7 linked regions of the Macaca mulatta genome follow. The main gene of each other region encodes a partner of the protein of the gene in region 7 in a complex. Links are inferred from orthologs where the notes say so. Each region holds a gene or a part of one and is shown on either strand. Other genes may lie near its edges.

What was found.
Region 1: EFTUD2 (region 7) and RNF113A share a complex: the UniProt entries of both Homo sapiens proteins name them as parts of the minor spliceosome. The link is inferred for Macaca mulatta from reciprocal best matches to the Homo sapiens genes EFTUD2 and RNF113A.
Region 2: EFTUD2 (region 7) and SNRPD1 share a complex: the UniProt entries of both Homo sapiens proteins name them as parts of the minor spliceosome. The link is inferred for Macaca mulatta from reciprocal best matches to the Homo sapiens genes EFTUD2 and SNRPD1.
Region 3: EFTUD2 (region 7) and CRIPT share a complex: the UniProt entries of both Homo sapiens proteins name them as parts of the minor spliceosome. The link is inferred for Macaca mulatta from reciprocal best matches to the Homo sapiens genes EFTUD2 and CRIPT.
Region 4: EFTUD2 (region 7) and SNRPG share a complex: the UniProt entries of both Homo sapiens proteins name them as parts of the minor spliceosome. The link is inferred for Macaca mulatta from reciprocal best matches to the Homo sapiens genes EFTUD2 and SNRPG.
Region 5: EFTUD2 (region 7) and SNRPF share a complex: the UniProt entries of both Homo sapiens proteins name them as parts of the minor spliceosome. The link is inferred for Macaca mulatta from reciprocal best matches to the Homo sapiens genes EFTUD2 and SNRPF.
Region 6: EFTUD2 (region 7) and CWC22 share a complex: the UniProt entries of both Homo sapiens proteins name them as parts of the minor spliceosome. The link is inferred for Macaca mulatta from reciprocal best matches to the Homo sapiens genes EFTUD2 and CWC22.

What each region holds. Positions count from the first base shown.
Region 1 is NC_133426.1:126,364,799-126,368,082, forward strand, and holds RNF113A (E3 ubiquitin-protein ligase RNF113A), read right to left. Parts: upstream 1,858-3,284; 5' UTR 1,643-1,857; coding exon 608-1,642; 3' UTR 501-607; downstream 1-500. UniProt on the Homo sapiens protein: Required for pre-mRNA splicing as component of the spliceosome. As a component of the minor spliceosome, involved in the splicing of U12-type introns in pre-mRNAs. E3 ubiquitin-protein ligase that catalyzes the transfer of ubiquitin onto target proteins.
Region 2 is NC_133423.1:70,786,568-70,790,067, reverse strand, and holds part of SNRPD1 (small nuclear ribonucleoprotein Sm D1), read left to right. Parts: intron 1-965; coding exon 966-1,042; intron 1,043-2,627; coding exon 2,628-2,819; intron 2,820-3,500. UniProt on the Homo sapiens protein: Plays a role in pre-mRNA splicing as a core component of the spliceosomal U1, U2, U4 and U5 small nuclear ribonucleoproteins (snRNPs), the building blocks of the spliceosome.
Region 3 is NC_133418.1:78,211,129-78,213,726, reverse strand, and holds the end of CRIPT (cysteine-rich PDZ-binding protein), read left to right. Parts: intron 1-827; coding exon 828-931; intron 932-1,218; coding exon 1,219-1,283; 3' UTR 1,284-2,098; downstream 2,099-2,598. UniProt on the Homo sapiens protein: As a component of the minor spliceosome, involved in the splicing of U12-type introns in pre-mRNAs. Involved in the cytoskeletal anchoring of DLG4 in excitatory synapses.
Region 4 is NC_133418.1:54,435,747-54,440,022, forward strand, and holds the start of SNRPG (small nuclear ribonucleoprotein G), read left to right. Parts: upstream 1-1,476; 5' UTR 1,477-1,564; coding exon 1,565-1,596; intron 1,597-1,712; exon of another isoform or gene 1,713-2,043; coding exon of another isoform or gene 2,044-2,051; intron 2,052-3,238; exon of another isoform or gene 3,239-3,339; coding exon of another isoform or gene 3,340-3,386; intron 3,387-4,276. UniProt on the Homo sapiens protein: Plays a role in pre-mRNA splicing as a core component of the spliceosomal U1, U2, U4 and U5 small nuclear ribonucleoproteins (snRNPs), the building blocks of the spliceosome.
Region 5 is NC_133416.1:103,187,286-103,191,358, forward strand, and holds the start of SNRPF (small nuclear ribonucleoprotein F), read left to right. Parts: upstream 1-1,273; 5' UTR 1,274-1,395; coding exon 1,396-1,398; intron 1,399-3,374; coding exon 3,375-3,500; intron 3,501-4,073. UniProt on the Homo sapiens protein: Plays a role in pre-mRNA splicing as a core component of the spliceosomal U1, U2, U4 and U5 small nuclear ribonucleoproteins (snRNPs), the building blocks of the spliceosome.
Region 6 is NC_133417.1:84,908,053-84,911,552, forward strand, and holds part of CWC22 (pre-mRNA-splicing factor CWC22 homolog), read right to left. Parts: intron 791-3,500; coding exon 622-790; intron 236-621; coding exon 182-235; intron 1-181. UniProt on the Homo sapiens protein: Required for pre-mRNA splicing as component of the spliceosome. As a component of the minor spliceosome, involved in the splicing of U12-type introns in pre-mRNAs. Promotes exon-junction complex (EJC) assembly.
Region 7 is NC_133421.1:69,256,213-69,259,712, reverse strand, and holds part of EFTUD2 (116 kDa U5 small nuclear ribonucleoprotein component), read left to right. Parts: intron 1-1,075; coding exon 1,076-1,111; intron 1,112-2,157; coding exon 2,158-2,248; intron 2,249-3,143; coding exon 3,144-3,226; intron 3,227-3,500. UniProt on the Homo sapiens protein: Required for pre-mRNA splicing as component of the spliceosome, including pre-catalytic, catalytic and post-catalytic spliceosomal complexes. Component of the U5 snRNP and the U4/U6-U5 tri-snRNP complex, a building block of the spliceosome.

The sequences.
Region 1 (3,284 bases), on a different chromosome or scaffold from region 7:
AGGGGAATCGCTTGAACCCGGGAGGCGGAGGTTGCAGTGAGCTGAGATAGCGCCATTGCACTCCAGCCTGGACAACAGAGCGAGACTCCGTCTCAAAAATAAATAAATAAATAAATAAATAAATAAATAACCCAGACAGCAAGGAACATTTCCCATATGTGAAGCCTGTGGTACTAGCTACCAATTCCCCAAACGCAACCCCTCTCCCCAACACCTTGGCTCCGGTATATTTTGTAGTACAGGCTCCCAAGAGAAAGAATGCATGAAAGTACTTTGTAAACCATTAAGTGATACAGAAATGTGATATGATAAACAGGCTCAGAGTTCTTACTTTCGTCATAGCTTTGGCTACTTCAAGCAAATTATAGCTCTTTTCTCAAACTACTCCCACCCCTATAATTGATGCCAAAATGTTCTGAAAAGAAACACAGGCAAAATGGTTATCCTAGGGCTAAAAATCCTGATTATACCTACCTTGAGGTTTTTAATCCAGGACCCTACTTCACCACCCGCCTTCTCTGTCACTGTCTCTACAAAGGAAGGACACGAATTAAGACTTCCAAAAGAACAAAATATTTATTTTTTAAATTTAAGAATTATCAGACAGCTAAGTAACGGGAATTGGATCCTCATCGGGGTCTTCTGGCAAGTCGGAAGCACCACCACCCTCTCCTGTAGCTCGATGCTTCTCTAGTTTAGCAATCAATTCTTTCGCTGGATTGAAGACGCCATTGGTCTGCTGGTCACAGACATAGCAGCGCGGGGTGGTGCGGAAATGCTGCAGTGCACAGCTCTCGCAGAAATAATGCCTGCACTTGGTGACAACTGGGTTTTGGAAGCTCTGGCGACAGATGAAACACTTGAATGGTATTTCCTCATCATCGCTTCCCACTTCATAGTTTTCATCCTCATAGACACCATAGCGACCCTCATCAAGCTCACGTTCGATCTGCCACCCATGCTTGTAATCTGAACGGTCATGGAGGAATTTGCAGCTGTCTCCGAAGCCGCAGAAGCCAGTCTCTTTGTAGTCCTTACAGATGTCGGGCTGGTAATCCCAGCGCACCGTGGCACGTAGATGCTCGGGCGCTCGGATGGGGCCCTTCCTCACCATCCCGGAAGAGGCATTGCCCATAGACGTATCCTTGGGCTTCATGTATTTCTGATAATTGTTGATTCCCCGATAGATCTTGTCATCCTCCTTGCCCCTCAGCTCCTCCTGGATCTTCTGGCTGCGCTCAAAGATGGCTTGTGCATCGCGCTCTTTCTCTGTGTCCAGCTCATAGACAGCTGTCGCCCCCATATCCTCTGGTCCCACGGGTTTCGCCGAGCGGGTGGATTTATAAACCACGCCGAGACTCTCGGGCTCATTTTCCTCCTCCTCCTCGCTGCTCAAGTCGCCGTAAGCTGCCTTCTGTTTACCACTGTCACGAGTCTTCTGTATCATTGGATTGTGAGTCGCCCGCTTCTTTTCCGGTCGAACCACAGTGCAGCCTTCGTCGCTACTGCTGCCGCTGTCTCCGGGCTCTGGGTCGCAGGCCGGGCGCTTTCTGCGTCCAGCAGCCCCTTTCCGCCCAGGCTTTTTGAAAAGGAAGGTGCACACCTGATCCGCCGTCTTCCCTGGAGAAAACTGCTCTGCCATTTTAGAGTCCCGAGCTCCGAAACGGCCGTCGCTGCCTGGGTTGCACTTGGCCTCTGCGCGTTACTCCACGTCGCGCGCTCCGCCGGGAGTCGAAGCAAAAGACACTGACGGAAGAGAACTGCGAGAGCGCGAGCGCCAGCCTCTCTTGAGCCCTGGCAGATCCCGTCGCTTCCTCCGGAGCCGTACGTGGCACCGCCCCGCTCGCGGGCGGCCGCGGGGCTTACTGGGAAGGGAGCCGAAGCCCGGTCACCTTTCAAGGACCCAGAAGTAGGGTTTTGGCCTAGATAACGGGGCAGAGATGTGGTTCGAGATTCTCCCCGGACTCGCCGCCATGGGCGTGTGCTTGTTTATTCCAGGACTGGCTACTGCGTACATCCAGAGGTTCACTAACGGGGGCAAGGTAAGGCGGCTTCCTGGGCCCGGGGGCTGACTCCACTGGCTGATTTCTGAAAAGGATGGTGGGCAGAGAGTCCGTCAGCCTGCGGACCCTCTCTCCGAGGCCGGCCCTCTATTTTCTTCCGGTTGCCTAGAAGCCGAGGCTTGCGAAACGAAGCGCGGTAGAAACCACATCCTGCTCTGGTGAAAAACAGCGTTTCTGGGTGTATCAAAGTGGGCCTTAGGGCAGAGTAGCGACGCGGGGGCCGGAAAGGTAGATTAGAAGAGGTGGCTCAAGCCTGAGAATCCCTCACTGCAACCTCCGCCTTCCGGGTTCAAGAGATTCTCCTGGCTGGGCGCGGTGGCTCACGCCTGTAATCCCAGCACTTTGGGAGACCGAGGCGGGCGGATCACCTGAGGTCGGGAGTTCGATACCAGCCTGACCAACATGGGGAAACCCCATCTCTACTAAAAATACAAAATTAGTGGAGCGTGGTGGCGCATGCCTGTGATCCCAGCTACTCGGGAGGCTGAGGCAGGAGAATCGCTTGAACCCAGGAGGCGGAGGTTGCAGTGAGCCGAGATCGCGACACTGCACTCCAGCCTGGGCAACAAGGGCGAAACTCCGTCTCAAAAAAAAAAAAAAAAAAAAAAAAAGATTTTCCTGCCTCACCCTCCTGAGTAGCCGGGACCACGCCCGGCTATTTATTTATTTATTTTGGTAGAGACGGGGTTTCATCATGTTGGCGAGGCTGGTCCCGAACTTCTGACCTCAGGTGATCCACCCGCCTTGACCTCCCAAAGTGCTGGGATTACAGGCGTGAGCCGCCGCTCCCGGCCACCCTTGACTTTTTTATTCCCCACTTTCTCTTGCAAGCGTTTAGGAATTTACTGCAAGGTCTTGTGTTTTACATCAGGATTCATTTTCCCCTCTTAGCCCTTCACATCATCTCTAGAGTACAGAGTATAAATTTATTTACTTTTTGAATTTGTGATTGTCCACGTGTGATCTACAGCTGTTGTTTCTTAGTGTCCCAAAAGGCAACAACTAGATATTTCTTTTTTTTTTCTTTTTTTTAAAAAGGAAAAGAAATTCATGTTGGTTAAAATAGTGTAAGAAGTCACGGTCACCAACTTAATCCTAAAGTGTAGTGGTCTGATTTTATTTAGGAGATTCTGTTCTTGTACTACTAATTTGCATTTTTATTTGAATGATGATTCCATTTCTCTAGAATGTCCCTTCTAAAAATTGTAATATCCATCAACT
Region 2 (3,500 bases), on a different chromosome or scaffold from region 7:
ATGTTGGCCAGGCTGGTCTTGGACTCCAGACCTCAGATGATCTGCCCACCTCGGTCTCCCTAAGCGCTGGAATTAAAGGCATGAGCCACTGTACCCAGTCTCAGTTCTTAGAGTGTTTTGTATGTTGAAATGGGAATATGTCCAATATAAACTGCTGAACGAGAACTACAAGTTACAGATGTGAATAAAATATGACCCAATTTATGTAAAAAGAAATCTGTATATATGCTTATGAATGTGCATATAAAATGATCTGGAATAATATTCCTACATACCCACAGTGCAGGGGGTTAGGAAGGGAGATTTTTACTTTATATATAAATATTGTAATAAACTTGTAATCTTTTTACCAACTGTAATTCTTTATTTTTCATGATTTATGAGTCTGAGATCTTGTATGTCTGGATTTGAGGTTTGAGAATTAGAAACGTCCAAATGACAGTTCATGTTAGTATTGTTGTGTTCCTTCATAAAGGTTGAGGATATGATTCAGGAAAGCTGAAATTGTTAGCATATTCTTGATAGGAATTGATGCAGATAGCATCTACAAATTTTCAGCGTCTAGTTGTTTCATCTTTTTACCTTAATAAATGTGATTTTGGCCGGGCGCGGTGGCTCACGCCTGTAATCCCAGCACTTTGGGAGGCCGAGGCGGGCGGATCACAAGGTCAGGAGATCGAGACCACGGTGAAACCCCGTCTCTACTAAAAATACAAAAAATTAGCCGGGCGCGGTTGTGGGTGCCTGTAGTCCCAGCTACTCGGGAGGCTGAGGCAGGAGAATGGCGTGAACCCAGGAGGCGGAGCTTGCAGTGAGCCGAGATTGCGCCACTGCACTCCAGCCTGGGCTGGGCGACAGAGCGAGACTCCGTCTCAAAAAAAATAAATAAATAAATAAAATAAAATAAATAAATGTGATTTTAAAGTGTTGCAGGTAAAAAGTAATGGTTTTATTCCTATTTATAGATTTTTGATGAAATTGAGTCATGAAACTGTAACCATTGAATTGAAGAACGGAACACAGGTCCATGGAACAATCACAGGTACGGAGGTTGGACTACTTTTATAACATTTTTTTCTTCTCTTTTACCTGCTATCCAGAGTTTATTTTTTGATTGCTTAATGAACGTTATTGTAGTACAGATTCTTATTCTTTTGTCTGAATTATGTAATTTATTTATTTATTTATTTATTTATTTATTTATTTTTTGAGACGGAGTCTCGCTCTGTCGCCCAGGCTGGAGTGCAGTGGCGCGATCTTGGCTCACTGCAAGCTCCGCCTCCCGGGTTCACGCCCTTCTCCTGCCTCAGCCTCCTGAGTAGCTGGGACTACAGGCGCCCACAACCGCGCCCGGCTAATTTTTTGTATTTTTAGTAGAGACGGGGTTTCACCGTGGTCTCGATCTCCTGACCTTGTGATCCGCCCGCCTCGGCCTCCCAAAGTGCTGGGATTACAGGCGTGAGCCACCGCGCCCGGCCTATTTTTTTTTTTAAACAGAGTTTTGCTGTGTCACCTGGGCTTGAGTGCAGTGTCATGATCTCGGCTCACTGTAACCTCCGCTGCCTGGGGTCAAGCAATTCTTTTGTCTCAGCCTCCCGAGTGGCTGGGACTACAGGTGCCTGCCAGCATGCCTGGGTACATTTTTTTTTTTTTGAGACGGATTCTCACTCCGTTGCCCAGGCTGGAGTGCAGTGGCACAGTCTCAGCTCACTGCAACCTCCGCCTCCAGGGTCTGATTAATTTTGGTAGAGATGGGGTTTTGGTCTCGAACTTGTGACCTCATGATCCATCCACCTCGGCCTCCCAGAGTGCTGGGATTTCAGGCGTGAGTCAAGTCACTGCACCTGGCCTAATTTTTGTATTTTTAGTAGAGATGAGGTTTCAGCATGTCAGCCAGGCTGATCTTGAACTGGACCGGGCTGGTCAGAAGACCTCAGTTGATCCGCCTGCCTCGGCCTCCCAAAGTGCTGGGATTACAGGCGTGAGCCACCGAACCTGGCCTAAGTAGGTCTTTAGTTATCCCATTAGTTCAGGTATAATTTGGTAAAGGCTTCAGTATTCAGGTGTTTCAGCTATAATGTCATATAATCACCCTGAAAAATTGCTTTGTATTTTGTAAACTCTCATACTAAAAATAGTAGCTTAATGAGAAGAATAGGTGTTGCAGACTACTTAAAAGCCTGTGTAACTTTGTAATCAAAATATTCTTAACAAAAGTGGTAACAATTATTACATATAGAGAGAAGCAGAAACAAAGGTGAGGATAGTTTAGTGGAATGGGGATTATGAGAAAGTCACAAAGACAGTGAGAGAAACATTCAAGAAATACCTGTCAGATCAGTAGTGAGCCTGAAGCCCAGTCAGGGTTCTTCCATTGCTTGCTGCATTCATTTCTGTAAGCAAAACTTAGTGTGCTAGGAAAAATCTCTAGGAAGGAAACACTGCTGATTTATACTGACGTTATTCCCCCATTTACCAGTTGCATATGTGCTAAATTATGTCATAGAAAACTTGCACTGTAGCAGAACAGTATTCTTTTGTAGTCCAGTATTTACTGTGGCTCAGTAGATTAATTAGTTGCCTGACTTTTATCATACTAATAACTGCCCAATTATTTTTCTTTTTAGGTGTGGATGTCAGCATGAATACACATCTTAAAGCTGTGAAAATGACCCTGAAGAACAGAGAACCTGTACAGCTGGAAACGCTGAGTATTCGAGGAAATAACATTCGGTATTTTATTCTACCAGACAGTTTACCTCTGGATACACTACTTGTGGATGTTGAACCTAAGGTGAAATCTAAGAAAAGGGAAGCTGGTAAGTTTGAAGGATTATAAAAATTTTTGTGAATGCTAATCCTAATCCACACTATTCATAATATAAATATTTGCAAACAACACAAGTGTCTTTGTTGTTTAATATTTCCTATAATGTGTATTGTAACTCCTGGTGTTGCTATTAAAAACATTGATGCGGCTGGACACAGTGGCTCACGCCTGTAATCCCAGCACTTTGGGAGGCCGAGGCGGGCAGATCACCTGAGGCCAGGAGTTCCAGACCAGCCTGGTCAACATGGAGAAATCCCATCTCTACTAAAAATGCAAAAAAAAAATTGGGCGTGGCGGCGCATGCCTTTAGTCCCAGTTACTTGGGAGGCTGAGGCAGAAGAATCACTTGAACCCGGGAGGCGGAGGTTGCTGTGAGCCAAGATCATGCCACTGCACTCCGGCCTGGGCTACAGAGTGAGACTCTGTTTCAAAATAATAATAATAATATGGTTGTAATCCATAGCTTGAAAAACAATGATTTAACCTCTCACTCATGCTGTGTATCATGCTGCTTTCCACTTTGCAAGAACCCCCTGTGGGTACCAAAATCTACAGATGCTCAAGTCCCTTTTCATAAAATGGTAATAGTGTTTCCATCTAACCTCTGCACATCCTTTTGTACACTTGTAATACCCAGTATAATGTAAATGCTTTGTAGATAGTTATATTG
Region 3 (2,598 bases), on a different chromosome or scaffold from region 7:
GAGGATCATTACAAAAACTCATTTTGTAGTTAGGGAAGCACAGTTAAAGCAGAGTATTATTGCCATTTTAGGGGGAAGTATTTCTTTTTTTCACTCCAGTTACTGTAAGATGGCATTTTTATATAGTAGAAGCCCTTTTATCTAAAAGGATTGAGTCAGTTAATTAAAAATGTCAGCTAATGTAAGCAGTCATTAAAAGATACACATACCTTATTTTAACTTAAAGCACATAACTGTAGATGTATTAATCATATGGTATTGAAACAAAGCCTTTTGAGCATAAATCAACTGATAAGTGCTCTACATGATTGTCGTCACAAAAATCACAATCAGAATATGTTCAGTATCTTTAAAGTGGAGCAAAAATTGATGCTTGAGGTATGGAGTCCTTTCCTAGTGATTTTCCCCCAGTTGTCAACAGTTGTCTTACCCATACCTAATTCAATAGCAATTCCGATTATTCCTGGTCGTCCTAAAGTAGTCACTTAGGTTTTATGGAATCAGTCACTCTTTTTGCACCGACATTTCATCAGTTTCCATAATATTTTTGTCACACAAATAGAATGACAGATACAATTGATACGAACACGTCAAGAATAAATTCTGTACAACTGACTATAAGTATATATCTCACATGGACGGAGCAGAGCAGAGATGTACAGGCATATCAGACAGTAGCCATCTGGAATAGGCTAAACCCATCAATTGTAGAGGTTGATGGAGGGATGAAGAGCATGGATTAATCCTGTGTGTTGCGTAAGTGGGGTTATTTAAGAGTGTGTTTCTAGTGTAATATACAATTTTCTCTCATTAAAAAAAATTTCTAGATTTGATCCATATGGAAAGAATAAGTTCTCCACTTGCAGAATTTGTAAAAGTTCTGTGCACCAACCAGGTTCTCATTACTGCCAGGGCTGTGCCTACAAAAAAGGTAAGTTTCTTTTAATACCTTTTTTCTATTCATAAAACCTACTTCATTTGCTGCTAATTTGGTTAACAGAAACGATGTAGCCTGTCATAAATTCTGTTAACCAAACACTCTTTATCCTAAGGCAAAATGGGACGTAAAACCTGTTTATAATTAAAAGTATATATATATATATATATTTTTTTTTTTCTCTTCTGATGCTGTTAAATTATATTTTAAGCTTCAGGATTGACTTAAACCAAACAGTTGGTATTATGATTTGATTGATCACGTATCTTCTTTTGTTTCAGGCATCTGTGCGATGTGTGGAAAAAAGGTTTTGGATACCAAAAACTACAAGCAAACATCTGTCTAGATGTATTGATGGAATTTCTGACTTTCTAAATGATTTTACTTTCTGCCTTGAATTTTCAAGGCATAGATGTCAACTTACAGAATAACGTGTTTTAAGACAATTACGTTTAAACCAGAGAATTTGATTGTTATTCATTTTGCTCTCATGCTCTAAACAGCAACAGTGTAACTAGTCTTTTGCCGTAAATGGTTTTTTCCTTATGAGCATTTTATTGAACTAAGTGGCAAATTCCATGAAAAATTTCTCAGTTCTGTATGCACTTTAAACATTATTCATGTAATTCTCCCCCACACACACTTTATTTATAGATACTGCAAAAGTGAGAAGGAGGTAATAGATATTTTGCTCTGAATTTGGCATCCAGAGTTAACAGTTCTCCCCTAACTCCCTTACTCGTGTCATAGTTATTAGGATCAGCAGCCTCTTAACTAATTGCAGTTTCATAGGATGTATAAATGTTTCAAGCCATTATTGCTGAATGGTTCTTTAGTTATTAACCTAGACCCAAATCAAAGACCAGTTTTTATTTGTTCTTGCCGCCAAAGTGCCAGTTCCTTTAATATGTGACCAGGAACACAAGGAATATCCATATATCCAAATAAACACACTGAATTTTAGAAAAACTTATTACTTTGAATTCAAATTGTCATGAAAACCAGAACAGTGTTTGTCCATGTTGCATGTAATGAACATAAATCCCTGCTCTTTGAGAAAAGCTCTTTGAAGCAAAAACCAAACTTTTTGTTTTTTTACCTCCTGTCTCCCTCCCTAAAAGAAATAAATAAAGCAAACATCTTGACTCTCCCTTTTTAAAATTTGTTTGTTTGTTTGTTTGTTTGATACAGGATCTCACTCTGTTGACCAGGCTGGAGTGCAGAGGTATCATCAAGCTCTCTGCAGCCTCCATCTGCTGGGCTCAAGCAATCCTTCCACCTTACCCTCCTAAGTAGCTGGGGGCTACAGGTGTGTGCCAGTGAGCTCAGCTAGTTTTTATTTTTAGTAGAGACGAGGACTCGCTATGTTGCCCAAGCTGTTCTCAAACTCCTGATCTCAAGCAATCCTCTGGCCTCAGCCTTCCAAAGTGCTGGGTTACAGGTGTGAGTCACAGCACTTGGCCTCTCTCTCTCTCTCTTTTTTTTTTTTTTATACTACAGGTTTCAAATGAGTACTTTTCTTATGTTGCCTTCAGAGGTTCAGGACTTCTGCTTTTAAAATCTGCAGGCTACCATGGGAGACCAAAAAAGCATTCCCCATTTCCAACTGCAGTATGTATAAATACGTATCACTATAAAATGTGTAGAATAGATAGTGTGAT
Region 4 (4,276 bases), on a different chromosome or scaffold from region 7:
ATCCGTGCATTCTCCTATTTTGGGGTAACATAACTGGGAACAAGTCCGAGGCCACTTTTTACACATCTTGACATGAAAAAGGAATACCTTGTATTAGAGAATGTTTGTGTGCTGCACTTCACGTTTTATATACGGGGCAATGGCACATCAGTGAGTTCTGGAGGTAATGTTTGAAAAATTGCAGAACTGCCAGGCATGCTGGCTCATGCCTGTAATCTCAGCACTCTGGGAGCTGGAGGCAGGCGGATCTCTTAAGGCCAGGAATTCGAGAACAGCCTGGGCAACAAAGCAAGACGTCGTCTCTACAAAAAAAAAAAAAAAAAAAAAAAAAAAAAAAAAAAATTAGCTGGGTGCAGTGGCTTGCGCCTGTAGTCTAAACAACTCAGGAGGCTGAGGTGGGAGGATTGATTGAGGCCAGGGGTTCGAGGTTGCAGTGAGCCATGATCACATCATGCATCCCAGCCTGGGTGACAGAGCAAGACCTCATCTCAAAACAAAAAAAAATTTTTTTTTGCAAGACCCATCAGTCGGAAATAGATTGAAATTCTTGGAGACAGGCCCAGTCACCTTACTCTCCAAATGGTGCAGAGGCTGCTAATTTGCATGTTACCGGAACCCTACTTGGTCTGAAAGTATGCTGTAGGATACCTGCCAAAGAAATATAGAGGCCCGGCTGGGCGCGGGTGGCTCACGCCTGTAATCCTGGCACTTTGGGAGGCCGAGGCGGGCGGATCATGAGGTCAGGAGATCCAGACCATCCCAGCTAACACAGTGAAACCCCATTTTTACTAAAAATACAAAAAATTAGCCGGGCGTGGCGGCGTGTGCCTGTAGTCCCATCTACTCAGGAGGCTGAGGCAGGAGAATGGCGTGAACTCAGGAGGCGGAGCTTGCAGTGAGCCGAGACCGAGCCACTGCACTCCAGCCTGGGGGACAGAGCGAGACTGTCTCAGAAAAAAAAAAGAAATATAGAGGCCCATTCCTCCAGGGATCATTATTTGGTATTTTGGTTTAGATGAAGAAAACAAGCGATACGATCCACAGACATGCGGGATTTGCCGGGTTTGCCCAGAAGTTAGAGAGGGGACTGTTATCTCAGTATTTCAATTTTATTTTTTAAATAGAGGAGGGGGTCTCCCTATGTTGCCCAAGCTGGTCTCGAACTCCTGGGCTCAAGAGATCCAAAGTTCTGGGATTTACGGCGCCAGGCTTTTTTTTTTTTTTTTTTTTTTTTTTTTTTTTTTTTGGCTGTTCCATAGACAAGAACACGGATACTCCATCGTCAGAATACCCGTTATCTCAATTTTGCCCAAGGAAAACCGAATTTAGAAAGGTGCCTAGAGGGCCCACCCCTCTGTCCTGGCCAATAGCTGACGACGCAACCGGAAGCTCAGCAATGACCGAGGCGCTCAGATATCGCGATGTGAAGTGTTAAAAACTGCCAACAATCGATTGGCTAACTAGGTCGATGACGCCAAACGCAAGACGCCGGGCCTACCGCGGGAGCCTGAGGGAAGCCGTGCATTCAGTTCCAAGGCGTCTGTGAGTCCGCGGAGTATACGCCATGAGCAAAGCTCACCCTCCCGAGTTGAAAAAGTAAGTATGTGTGAGAGCCAAACCGAAGTGGTCGCTTCTTTGCGTCCCCCGAGTCCCTTGGTGTTTCAAGCCGAATGGCTTGAGCCGCTTCACCTTATTTCTTCTTCCGGTCCGAGGTCGCCGGCATCCCGGCCAGGCTCCGGCTCATGAGACGTGAAGCCCGCGCAGAGCTCGCGCATTGGCGTGGTTACCGCCGGCAGCCACCGCACCTCCTTCTGGCCGACTAGTCTCTCTGTCCCGCGCTCCGGCCCCTAGTCACCCGGCGCTGTCCCTCGTTCCTTGAAGATCTCCAATGCCAGCTTTTGTTGAACATCTCTAATAGCATCATATTCTAGATAGACGGCTAGAGGGGGAAATTCTCTAAAGGAACTAAGGAGGGGATGGAAGGGAAGTGTTTTTAAAACTACGTGAGGCATCGGAATCCAAAAGCCACTTTAGCCTTAGAGAATGTGTTTGTAGGTGTTTCTTTGAGCTTTTACTTAGAAACCTCATTCTTTTTTGTTGCCTATTTTTACATTAAGCTTGAATGTCATGTGTTATCTTGCTCTGATATTGAAACTATGTAAGAACATTCATTTCTAAAATTAATGTTCTAAAAAATAAAATTTTTTTTAGAACATTAATTTTTTTCTAATCAGAGAAGGCTAATTTTTTTAAGTTTCTTTTACACACCCAGTAAAGACAAACAACTTTAAGGAGGAGAGCCTTAATTTATGTAGGACTCAACGTAAAACTTTAAACTCCTCAAATACTTTTTGACTGGACTTAACAGGTTATGTGTTTCCTCAGTACGTCTCTGTTTTGCTTGTACTCCCTGATGCTGGAATTCTACATGTATTTATTGGATTGCACAGAGGATGCAAAATTTTTACAGGAATCAATTTTTTCTGGTGTAGCATGTGGTTGGCTTTGTGTATAGTTCATTTATTACCAGGCCCCTGGAAGTCAGACATAAGGAAAAGTTCCTATTTAATAATTTTGCGGCCAGTGGCGGTGACTCACGCCTGTAATCCCAGCACTTTGGGAGGCCAAGGTGGGTGGATCACCTGAGGTCAGGAGTTCGAGACCAGCCTGGCCAACATGGTGAAACCCCCCGTCTCTACTAAAAATACAAAAAATTAGCCAGGAATGGTGGCACGCGCCTGTAGTCTCAGCTACTCGGGAGGCTGAGGCAGGAGAATCGCTTGAACCCGGGAAGTGGAGGCTGCAGTGAGTCAAGATCTAGCAATTGCCCTCCAGCCTGGGCAACAAGAGCGAAACTCTGTTTCAAATAATAATAATATTGCATTTAAAGGTATATTTGTATCAAAGCCATCTTTTGTATGAAAACTACTTTCATGTATATTTTAGTTAGGTCTGTTAAGGAATTAATTATTAAAACATAGCCCAACGTTAGAAAAATAGAAGTTAGAAATTATTGTGAAAATTACTCTTTTTATCTGAAAGTTATTTTATTGGTGAGTTGGTGATGTAAGTATCCTCTGGATTCATCAGGGACTGGTGAAATGGTGATTTTTCTTTTTTTAAACAAAAGCACCATTCTCTACTTGTAATCTAAGATTTTATTTGTGATTCATAACATAGTTTTTGAAAATTTCAGAGAAGGAAGCTAGTTTTAATACCTTTCTCTTCTCATCCATAGGTTTCATGAATTGTGAAATCCCGTGAGATCTGCCGTCAAAATGACTTTCAAATTTTTTCTTTCTTTGCTTTCTCACTGATAGCATCTTCTTTTACACCATTATGCCCTCCTTCTGGCTTAGCGTAACTCAGGGGTTCTTAAATGGGGGGTAAGGAATCTGGTGACACCAGGGATGCTGCTAAACATCCTACCGTTATTCGGCTGCCCCCAACAATACAAAATTACCTGGTCCCAAGTGTCATTAGTGCAGAAGTTGAGATACACTGGCTTAACCGAATTCTTCCTTCCACTTCTTAAAATTTGCTGCCACAGTGGTCTTGCCAGTGACAGCTTTAATAATTTATCACAGTATGCAAAACTGAATCTATACTTAAGCCAGCATTCAAACGCCAAACCTTACAGCTGCTAATACTCACGTGTTCTCTTCTCCAGTCAGACTGAACTATTTGTGTTTGCTCTCACTTGCTGTGTGACTTCGAAAAATTGATTTACCTTTTCCAAGCCTAGTTCTCCATCTGTAAAAACGGTAGAAATGACAGACCATAATTGCATGCAAAGTCATTGTAAAGATTGTATAAGATCTTGTGTTATATTTGATATGTTTTATGTATCTTATTAAAATAGTTTTGTTCATCATACTTCATAAATGTGTGTATATATTATATATAATATGTAATATATATTACATATATAATTTTACATATAATATTACATATATATTACTTTTTTTTATATATATACATATATATATATATATATTTTTTTTTTTTTTTTTTTTTTTTTTTTGAGATGGAGTTTCACTCTTAATTCCCAGGCTGGAGTGCAATGGTGCAATCTCGGCTTACCGCAACCCGTGCCTCCCGGGTTCAAGCAATTCTCCTGCCTCAGCCTCCCGAGTAGCTGGGACTACAGGCATGCACCACCACACCCGGCTAATTTTTTTTTTTTTTTTTTTTTTTTTTTTTTTTTTTTTTTTTAGTAGAGACGGGGTTTCTCCATGTTCATGTTCATCAGGCTGGTCTTGAACTCCCGACCTCA
Region 5 (4,073 bases), on a different chromosome or scaffold from region 7:
TCAGACGGTAAGGTAAGATTTCCACAATTGTTGAAAGAGCCTGACACATAGTAGGAACTCAAAGTCTGTACAAAGACTTAAAGTTCATGAAACAATATACAAACTAAGGAAGAAATCCACTTAAGTTTAGGGTGAATAAATCTAATAACTGTTTGGTAAAAACTACACTGACAATGACTGTCTTGTCAGTGTTCAACACTTATGTGAAACACTGAGCTTTTACAAGGCCAAGCCCCGTTTTAGGTTAAATTCTCGCAACCACGCTGAGGATGGTTCCGTTTTTAAAGCCGCGTTCCTGCCGTGGAAACAGTGGCCCTGAGGGTTAAGACACTGCCCAACACCGGCTGCGCCTGATAGACGCAGGTTCCGAATGCAGGCCCTCTCCAAAGTCTTGCCCACTGCTCCACAGTGCCTCAACAACCAACATTTCATCCTCAACCTCAAATCCATCTCTTCAGGGCCGCAAAAAAGCGTTACTTCCCAAAGGGCGTGTTCTCCAAGAACTGCATTTAGCATTTCAGATCAGAGTGAGCCGAACTCACTAGGATTACGACAAAAACCAGTGAGATTCAGATAACACCGTTACGTCGAAAGTTTTAATCCGTGACAGCGGAAATATTGCTTACGCCCTTAGGTAATTTCAAATGCACGTAAGAAGGCCGTGCCAGTCTCTGCTGGCGATGCAAAAGAAAGATGGGGCCGGCGGGGTCGTGGGGGGTGGGGGGACATGACACCGTATCCCAGACACAACCTGACCTCGTTTAAAATAAATTCTGTATCCGACTCCCTTCGGTGCGTTTCACCGCCCCTAGTCTTGTCTGGCTACCCCCGAATTCCTTTAAAAGGGGTTGAAATGGGTGTTGCAGAAGAGAGAATACTCAGGTAGAAACGGCCTGCGGCAGAGGCGCCCCCAAATCATGGAACCTGTTGGAAGAGTGAGGAAGGAACTCTGGGATCCTGAACATTCTCACGGGTGTAAAAAGACAAAGTAAAATCCCCATTAACCAAGTTGGGGAGAAGTCACATCCGTCACACAGCCTCTCCCAGACCGCACATTTACAACACCGGCCTGCCTCCAGTCCTTGGCTGCCTCACCTTGCTCCTCAGAGCGGGTTTCCCAAGACCCGCGCGCAGCCGGCCAGGCGCAAACTCAAGCCGCTGCTGGTTGCCAGGAGATACTGGTCCAACCATCTCCTCCAATCAGCGCGCATCTCTTTTCGTCCAATCACAGAGGCAGGAAGGGCCGTGGTGGGAGGTGAAAGGTCACACTCCTGTTTGGCGGCCATTTTTCTTGAAATTCAGCGGCTCGGGACCTGGGGTACCTGCTGTAGTCACGAGGGACAAGCGGCAGCCTGGTCGGCAGTGAGTAGCCTGCAATATTCGGCCGTGGTTACGATGGTAAGGAGAACGAGAACGGCGGGAGAAGCGGGGAGAAAGAGAAGGAGGGAGACCACCTCGCGGGGCCTAGTGGTTGCTTCGCGCGTTTCCCATTCATCCGCGTGAGGCGCCGCGCACCCGGTCGCCAGCTTCTTTCACTCTGCTTTTAGGATTTCTGAGGCGCGTGCTCCTCCCGATGCCTTTCTTTTTCTAGGAGTGCCCGTGCCTTCTCCTCTTTGTTTGAATCCGGGCTTGGGATATTCTTATTTGTGGCTACAGGGTCGGGGTAAAACTCAAAGAGAATTTGCACTTCCCACTTAACCACACTCCAAAATTCACTTTCATTGCATGAAAGTAATGATACGGCCATGCTCTAGTTTAACTCGGTTGGGGAAGACAGACAGTCAAAAAATAACAAATATGCAATTGCAAGTAATAAGTGCTAAGAAGAATGCAGACAGGAGGCTGTGAGGGTGCGCGTTAGACATTTAGAGGCTTAGTCAGAGATGGCCTCCCTAGGAGGTGGAATTTAACCTGAAGCCTAAGTGTCATGAAATAGACCCTTTAAAGAGCAGGAGGAGGAGTGTACCGAGCACAGAGAATAGGCGCATAAGACCTGCGGCCGGAAAGAAAGCTTGGTCAGTTGGAGAAATTGACAAAAAGGTACAGCCACTTGCAGGAAGAGTGGTTACGAGATGGTGTCGGAGGAGCAGGCGTTGGACAGGACCTCTTAGGCTGTATTGGGAGGTTTTGATTGTACTCCAAATCAATTGAAAATGATTGAGTTGGAAGCCATTGAATCATTTTAAGCAGAAATATGACAATTTGATGTGCACTTTAAAAAATCATGTTGCTGTGGTGGATAATAAATTGGAGAATGAAAACTGGAGACCCATTAGGTTATTGGAGTAATCGCCGCATCAAGTCACTCCGAATATGTTTATGTTAGAGGGGGTTAGTAGCCAAGTTTCTTAGTTCTGTTCTTTCTTTGACTGGTGAGTGAGCAGAAAAAGGCAAAAACCGAATTCACTGGAGATGTTAATGGTTTGCTGAGCAAACTTTAAGTGATTGCTATAAGAGGCAGTGCTAGTGACAAAGTCATTTAGGACCTAGCCCTAGCTTCCACAGTTAAAGACTGTCAAGCGTCATCTGCCCTCTGCTTCCTTCTGTAGTCTTATATTTGGGACTTTGACTGACAATGCTGAATTGTATGTCCCCAAAATCACCTTGTTGCTTCACTCTTCCCTCCTTTTACATAAGTAGCTAGCCTTGCCTGGAACAGGATTTTTTCCCGCTCTGGAAATAAATTCTCATTCTTTAAAACTGAGGTTAACTTATTTCAGGCAACCTTTCCTTTTTTCCCTGGATTGCTTCGGTACCCTTGTGCCTAGTATATCTCCTCTTATTATGTTGCAATATGCAGTATAATTATTTGTATGTGAGGAGCCCCCCTCCCCATCTCCAACTTCTTGACAGGGACTCTGTTATTTATTTATGACAAGGTCTTGCTCTGTTCCCTAGTAGCCGGGACTACAGGTGTGCACCACCACATCTGACTATTTTTGGTAGAGAAGGTGGTCTCACTATGTTGCCTGGGCTGGTCTTGAAATTCTGGCCTCAAGTGATCCCCCTGCCTTGGCCTTCCAGAATGCTGGAATTACAGATATGAGCCACCCTTTCTGGCCCGCATTTTTTTTTTTTTTAAGTGCCTTTATCTTTGTTTCTTTAGAGCTCAGAACAGTAAGTGATGTATGTAGTCGGTGTTATCTTAAGTGAATAGTGAGTATTTTGTTTTGATGGGTTAAAGGTGATACTGGCTAACTGGATATTTAAATTTCCCTGGTACTCTCCAATAAATGAAAGTGAAAATTGTGTACTAAAATAATGAGTCAAGAGTTTTCTTCATTTGCATACCACAAAATATTGGTATTTAGTAGAAGAGAGTTGGTGGTGGGAGGAAAAATAATTAATTGGATCCTTTTTTGTTCTTTGTGCAGAGTTTACCCCTCAATCCCAAACCTTTCCTCAATGGACTAACAGGAAAGCCAGTGATGGTGAAACTTAAGTGGGGAATGGAGTACAAGGGCTATCTGGTATCTGTAGATGGCTACATGAACATGCAGGTAAGCTAAAGAGCTGTAAAGGTCATAACATTGCATTTAGTTTGCTTCACCTTATTGCTCAAAGGTTTAGTCTGACTAATAAGAATACATACAATTAAATTGACAAATGTACGGCAAAATTAAAAAATAAAGTCAAAGCCAGGGAGGATACTATGATATACTAGGTACAAGACATGGACTTAAACCAGAATTCAGCCACAGATTTTATTCCTAGTAGTTAAAGTAAGAAGAGCTCAGACATTTAATTCATAATAATACTGTAAGGGAAACACACTACTTTGCTGGAGAAAACAAAACATTTCTCATCATTTAGCCCTGAAAGAAAGTTTTCAAGTGAAATTCATGAGTCTTTTAATGAATGATGCTAAAGGCACAACACCAAAGTTATTGAGGAAATTCATTCCTTCAGGGGAAAGACACATCTGCCGAAGAAATTGAACTGACTGTATGTCTGTCAAATGAGTTTCTGTAAATGATTCAGCCATGTGTTTTGGTGGGGTTTTTTTTGTAATTAATTTTCTTTTTATTGTGGTAAAATATACATTACAATTTTGCCACTCTAACCATTTTTAA
Region 6 (3,500 bases), on a different chromosome or scaffold from region 7:
AAAAGAAAAAAAAAAAGAATATTAAATACGTTTATTATAGTTTTCAAATGAAAATATCATTCAACATATTTATCCTAAGGACTATAAAGCAAAGCAAAAATAGAGAGGTATCAGTGAGGTGGCATCAACCCTGTGGTCTAATGCCACTGAATGCGAACAAGTATTGAAGATAATTACTTACCACATTTTGGTTAATAAGATGCGCCACAAATTTTGAAGCAGTCAGGCAAAGTTGCTGAAAAGTGAAGGTGGAGAGTTAATCCATAAACTAAACCCAATTTTCATTTATTTACATTAATCTATGGCCTACTAACAATCTATTTAAAACATGTACCACACAAGTATAATTTTTGTATTACCAGAAAGTTATAAGATAAAACACATGAAAGAGTATCACTTCTGGTTAAACAGTTAAAATTCTACAGTTAGAGCCATCATTTTTGTGGCTCATCAATAGTGGCCAGGGATATTTAAGAGAATAAAGAAGTTCTCATGAAAGACAGTTTTTAAAAAGCATTATGTTATGTACCTGTGTCAAAATCAACCTTGCTTACTTTTGTTGATACTGGTTTATTAGTCTGTTCCTATGTATCATTCTACCTACAAGCCATTCATATATACCTTATCATTTCTTCGATAGCCTTTTCGAAAATTAAGAATTAACCTCTTGAGGATTAATTCTCCAATTTGTGGAAATTTTGAGTTGATAATTGCCACTAATGCTGCATAAACATGGGTGAAGATTGGAGAAGCACTCTGTGCTTGCAAAACAGACCTGGAGAGCAGTCCTCTGTTTAAAAAAGAATAAAAAAAGGAGTCAACAATAACCAAATGAATTAAATGAAACAAAAACTATTAAAATTCAGTAATACATCTCTATAAATAATCATAAAATCTAAATCAGAACTAAATGGAAAGAGTTCACCTTACTAATAAATAAAAATTGTTTTTCAGAAAATGAAATGTGAATTTGTAATTTTGTAAAATAGAATGAAGATTTTGCTGCAATTTATCGCCAAAATTTTTCTCTCTACATATAATTCCTCTTTTCCCAGTCTGTTATATCAAATCATGAATTTGAGGTTTTTAAGGTTCATATAAATAAATTCAACATTTTCAAAAAAGTAAACAAAAGCAGACCTGCTTCAAAAGTACGAAAGCTAGACAACATAAAGTTTCTACTATGAATCCGTCATTCTTATAAAATTAATTTTGTGATTAAAGACAAATTTGGGTTTAAATCTTTAAGTCTAATTTTAGTTGAATAAAATGAAGATTTGGAAAATTCCTGTGAGAAATAAAGACATGAATTAAAAGCAATGCAAGATTAATGCTAAAACAATAACAGGAAATTAAAAGGTACCTACTTGTAACTCATTTTGAAAATGGTCATGTTTCTATATGCATTTGATGAGGAAGGGGAAAGGCAAATTGGGCAAACTGAAGTTATTTTTAGCAATGTAATGACAAGTAATTATTGGATTGCCAAAAGTCAGGAAAAAAAAGTCTTAATGGTAGTTTTAGATACAACAACAGAATCACTAGAGTAGAAAATGAGAAAAAGGATGCAGCTTATAAATTATAATATCTTTAGCAATCCATTAAGTCTTCTGAGTCTACTTTTTTTGTAAGTAAAATGGAGAGATCTCTGCCCACTTTTATGGATAATGGCTGTCTCTTGATCACCTTTCTGTACCTCTACAACTCGCTGCACCTACTTTATACCACCACCTTTTTTGGTGAGGTTGGGGAGAGACGGGGTCTCACTCTGTCACCCAGGCAGGAGTGCAGTGGCTTGATCTTGGCTCACTGGAAACTCTGCCTTCTGGGCTCAAGCAGTCCTCCCACCTCAGCCTCCAGAGTAGCTGGGAGTACTGCGTGCCACCACGCCCAGCTAATTTTTGTATTTTTCATAGAGATGAGTTTTCACAATGTTGCCCAGGCTGGTCTCAAACTCCTGGACTCAAGTGATCCTCTTGCCTCAGGCTCCCAAAGTGCTAGGATTACAGGCATTGAGCTACCATGCCTGGCCACTAAATTCCATATTTTTTAAAAGATGAATCATAGTCATGTAAAATGACAAGAGAAAACAGCCCTCAGATTTTAAAATAATAAGTAGAACATGGAGTACTTCTATTTTCTGACCCTTTTAAATATCACCAATTGCTTAAAACCACATATTATAGAACATGGTGATTCCTTTCCGCTTTTCTCAAATTTATTGCTTATCTTTCCCATTTCTCTCACATTCCCACTTCACTCTCACTAGAAATTAAATTGGAATAAGGCCATATACGATGAACCCATAGCTAATATACTCAACAGTGACAAGCTGAAAGCTTTTCCTCTAAGATCAGGAATAAGAAAAGGGTGCCTACTCTTTCCAATTCTATTCAACATAGTACTAGAAGTCCTAGCCAGAGCCATGAGGCAAGAGAAAGAAATAAAAGGCATCCAAATCAAAAATAGAGAAGTCTGTTTGCTGTAAACAGGATCTTAATATAGAAAACCCTAAAGACTTAACCAAAAAATTGTTAGAACTAATAAACTAATTTAGTAAAGCTGCAGACATAAAATCAACATATAAAAATCAGTAGTGCTTCCATATGCTTACAATGAACTATCTTTCTGAAAAAGAAACCAAGAAAACATCCCATTTACAATAACTATAAAAAAAACAAAAACAAAAACAAAAAACCTTAGGAATAAATCTAACCATGGAGATGAAAGGTCTGTACACTAAAAGCTACAAACTGCTGATGAAAAAATGGAAGAACATGCATGACATCCCTTGTCCATGGACTGAAATAATATACTAAAATGTCCATAGTACCCAAGCAACATAAAGACTCAACTCAATCCCTATCAAAATTCCAGTTACATTTTTCGCAGAAATAGAAAAAACAATCTTAAAACTCACATGGAACCACAAAAAACTCCAAATAGCCACAGCAATCTTGAACAAAAAGAACAAAGCTGGAGACCTCACACTCCCTGACCTAGAATCTGCTACAAAGTTATAGTAATCAAAACAGCGTGACACTAGTATAAAAACAGACACAGAGAGCTATAGAAAACAAAGAAACCAGAGATCAATCCAGACATTTGCAGTCAACTGATTTTCAACAAAGATGCTAAGAAGACACAATAGGGAAAAGACAGTGTCTTCAATAAATGGTGCCAAGAAAACTGAACATCCAGATGCAGAAGAATGAAAAGAGACCTTAGTCCCAAAACATATACAAACATCAATGCAAAATAGATTAAAGACTTAAACATAAGACCTGAAACTGTGAAACTACTGTATTATGGTTAATGATTTTTTGGATATGACCCCGAAAGCACAGGCAACAAAAGCAAAAAGAGACAAATGGGATTACATAAAAACTAGAATGCTTCTGCACAGCACAGGAAAATATCAACAGAGTGAAGAGACAGCCTACGGAATGGGAGAAAACATTTGCAAACCATACACCTGATAAGGGGTTAATATCCAAAAT
Region 7 (3,500 bases):
TAATAGCCCGCTCTATAAATATGATACAATTGTACCTGGTTTTCATGGTAAATTTAAATGCCTGTGAATGAGGCCAACTGTGGCTGCAAGTCTCAGTGCAATAAATGTTCAATCCCTGCCAGATTGATTGTTTTAACACTCTAGCATGAAGGCTGACATGTGTCTCCTTTTACCATGCTAAGAATTCTGTGCATTTGATATAAATTAGCTCTCAGCTATACCTGGTCTTTAGTGACCTCCCCCAACTCAAAAAGAGCGGTGGCTCATGCCTGTAATCCCAGCACTTTGGGAGGCCAGGACAGGAGGATCACTTGAGGTCAGGAGTTTGAGACGAGCCTGGCCAACATGGCGAAACCCCATCTCTACTAAAAATGCAAAATGTAGCTGGGTGGGCACAGTGATGTGCACCTGTAGTCCCAGCTACTCGAGGGGCTGAGGCAGGAGAATCGCTTGAACCTGGGAGGCAGAGGTTGCAGTCACCCAAGATTACGCCACTACACTGTAGCCTGGGCGAGTGAGACTCTGTCTCAAAAAAAGACAAAACCACAACCAAAAAGAAAAACCCGGCCGGGCGTGGTGGCTCACTCCTGTAATCCCAGCACTTTGGGTGGCCGAGCTGGGTGGATCACATGAGGTCAGGAGTTCAAGACCAGCCTGACCAACATGGTGAAACCCTGTGTCTACTGAAAATACAAAATTAGCTGAGCGTGGTGGCGCACGTCTGTAATCCCAGCTACTTGGGAGGCTGAGGCAGGAGAATCTCTTGAACCCGGGAGGCAAAGGAGGTTTCAGTGAGCCAAGATTGCGCCATTGTACTCCAGCCTGGGCAACAAGAGTGAAACTCTGTCTCCAAAAAAATAAAAATAAAAAAATCCCTCCACACACCCAGGAGCATTTCCAGCTGGGAGGGCACTGGTCTCATTGTCTGGAATTGCTGTGGGGACACCCTGCTCTCTGTCTCTCTTTAATCTCAAAGAAACCCTTGAGCTGGGAGGTGGTGAGGGAAAGTGATTGATGGTTCGTTTGTGGGAGAGGAGTCTGAACTCAGGTGGTAACAACAGTTAATTTTTTTCAGCTGTGCTATACTGACATCCTCTTCACAGAGCAAGAGGTAAGCATGCCTTGTGGAATCAGATTGTTGCCTACACCAGACCCCCCAGTAATAGTTTTGTAGGGAATGTAGAGGAGCCTTTATGATAGCATTTTAGTTCGTACTCTACTTCTTTCTCCTCACTTCTCACATCCCATCTCCTTCTTCCTCCAGTTACTCCAGGGTTATAACTTTAAAAAGAACTGGGTAGGCAAGCTGTAGGTTGGGAGGGGGACCCTCCTGTTCTTGACTAGATTAAATTTGGCCTAATATAGGGCAAATACTAAGAGGTGATGTCTGCATTTGTGCTTTAAGTTACGCAGAAGCTCAACGTGATTTTTTTTTAAATGACGTCATCCTTTAAAAATCCGCAGGATGACTCCATCCATATGATGACCTCTTTCTAGGAGTAGCTTCTCTTTGAAAATGGGTTCCTATATCTTTGTGTTCCTCTTTTTGTCTTTCCATCCGGATCTTTCTCTCTACTCTCTGACCCCTTCTCTTTCCCCCCTCTTATTTCTGTCCCTTTTTCCTAATGGAAGTTTTAAGTATAAATAAGTATGGTTAACTAAAGGCACTTGGAATTAGTAAAGATAGATAGGCAGTTAGTGTTAGCTGTTACTGTTTTATAATGCATTTATATATTTGTTTGACTGGAATTTTAAACAAATGTTTATTCCTGTCATAGCTTTTATATTTCTTTAAAAAAAAAAAACACTAAAATACCCCAGATTGTTTCTTTTTACTTTCAAGGTGCTCAGCTATTTTTGTTTCTCATGTATAAAGAGGATGAGATTCTAGGACCCTGGATTCTCTGATAGGGCTTAATACTGTTTTGTTTGCAGTAATTCATTTTCATCTTTTCATACTTGAAACAAGCCCCCCCAAAATGCTATCTAACACCAAGATATTTTATTTTCAAGGTCATGCTGGCTAGAAGCCTAGATAAAAATCACCCACCATAAGGAGAGCCATCAGTGTAATTTAGTAGCAATTGGGGAGCCCCAAAAGCAAAATGAACCCCTCTTGCATAGGAAGAGGTCTTGACCACTCTTTGTTTCTTTCAGAGAGGTGTAGGCATCAAAAGCACTCCTGTGACAGTGGTCTTGCCAGACACCAAAGGAAAATCTTATCTCTTCAATATCATGGACACTCCAGGTAGGACATCCTTTGGCTTTTGATTATTGGAACCTTGTCTTGGTTTTGCGTGTGTCCTCTCACTTTCCAGAGCAGAACAGAGCAGTGCATCTTTGTTTTTACATTCCCTCACCTTCATTGACACCATTTTCAGTTTTGACTCTCCCCTTTGTTTCTGGCTGTTAATTTAGCAAGCATCGTACTTCAGGCCTCCTATTCATGTCTTTACTCTTTTGAATATGTAAAAATGTTAGGGAATCGTATTCATTTATTCATTTCAGCCCGTCAGGCCCCATGCTATCTGCTGGGGAGCTAAAGGTGAGTCAGACCCAGTTCCTGGCCTCGAGTACTCTCAAAGGAGACTGGTGAACATACAGATGACCTTGGGAACAGGACCCCTTGGCTGACTCTTCCTCCTATTGGAAGGACCAACTGGGGCAGAGTTTTTAAAAACTGAAAGGTTTTAGGTTTTGGCTGATTTGCCTTCTTGGCACCATCTGATGCCCAGTGTCCTGATACCTCTCAGCCCCTGCCCCTATAGCACCTCGGCAGGAACTGCCTTCCTCGAACAGCACACTGTGCTCCAGGCCCTCCTTTGCCTTTTCTCCTGCCTCCAGATTGTCTTGAGTCCCACAGATCTCTGCTCACTGCTGATTAGGCTAAGCTGGTGTGTGATGTGGACTCATGCTCTCCTGGGCACTTCCCTCTTTTTAGGTAGGGAGCCTCCCGTAGAAAAGCATAATGCAAGGATATGATTCTAATGGGGGATATTTTTGTCCTGCAGCGGGTTATGGCGAGGAGGGGAAGGGGGTATTTGGAGGTTCACAGGCTTTGAAGTGCCCCCTCAGTTCACCGTACCAGTTAATTGTGCTTTATCCTACACCAAGTGATGACTTACTTAGTATTTGCTTTTCAGGACATGTGAATTTCTCTGATGAGGTCACAGCTGGCTTGCGCATCTCAGATGGAGTGGTTCTTTTCATTGATGCTGCCGAGGGGGTGAGTCAGACTCAGCTCCCAGAATCTCATCCACCCTGTTATGTTTGCCCCCCGCAATACCCAGAGCGCTAAGTGAGCTGGGAGCCAGAGAACCTTGAAACTCTCTAGGATTAAGGCTCAAATTTGCTCTAAAATTAAAGCAGCAAATGAAGTTCAAAATTAATTCTCACCGGGTGTGGTGGCTCGCACCTGTAATCCCAGCACTTTGGGAGGCTTAGGTGGGTGGATCACCTGAGGTCAGGAGTTCAGGACCAGCCTGGCCAACATGGCAAAA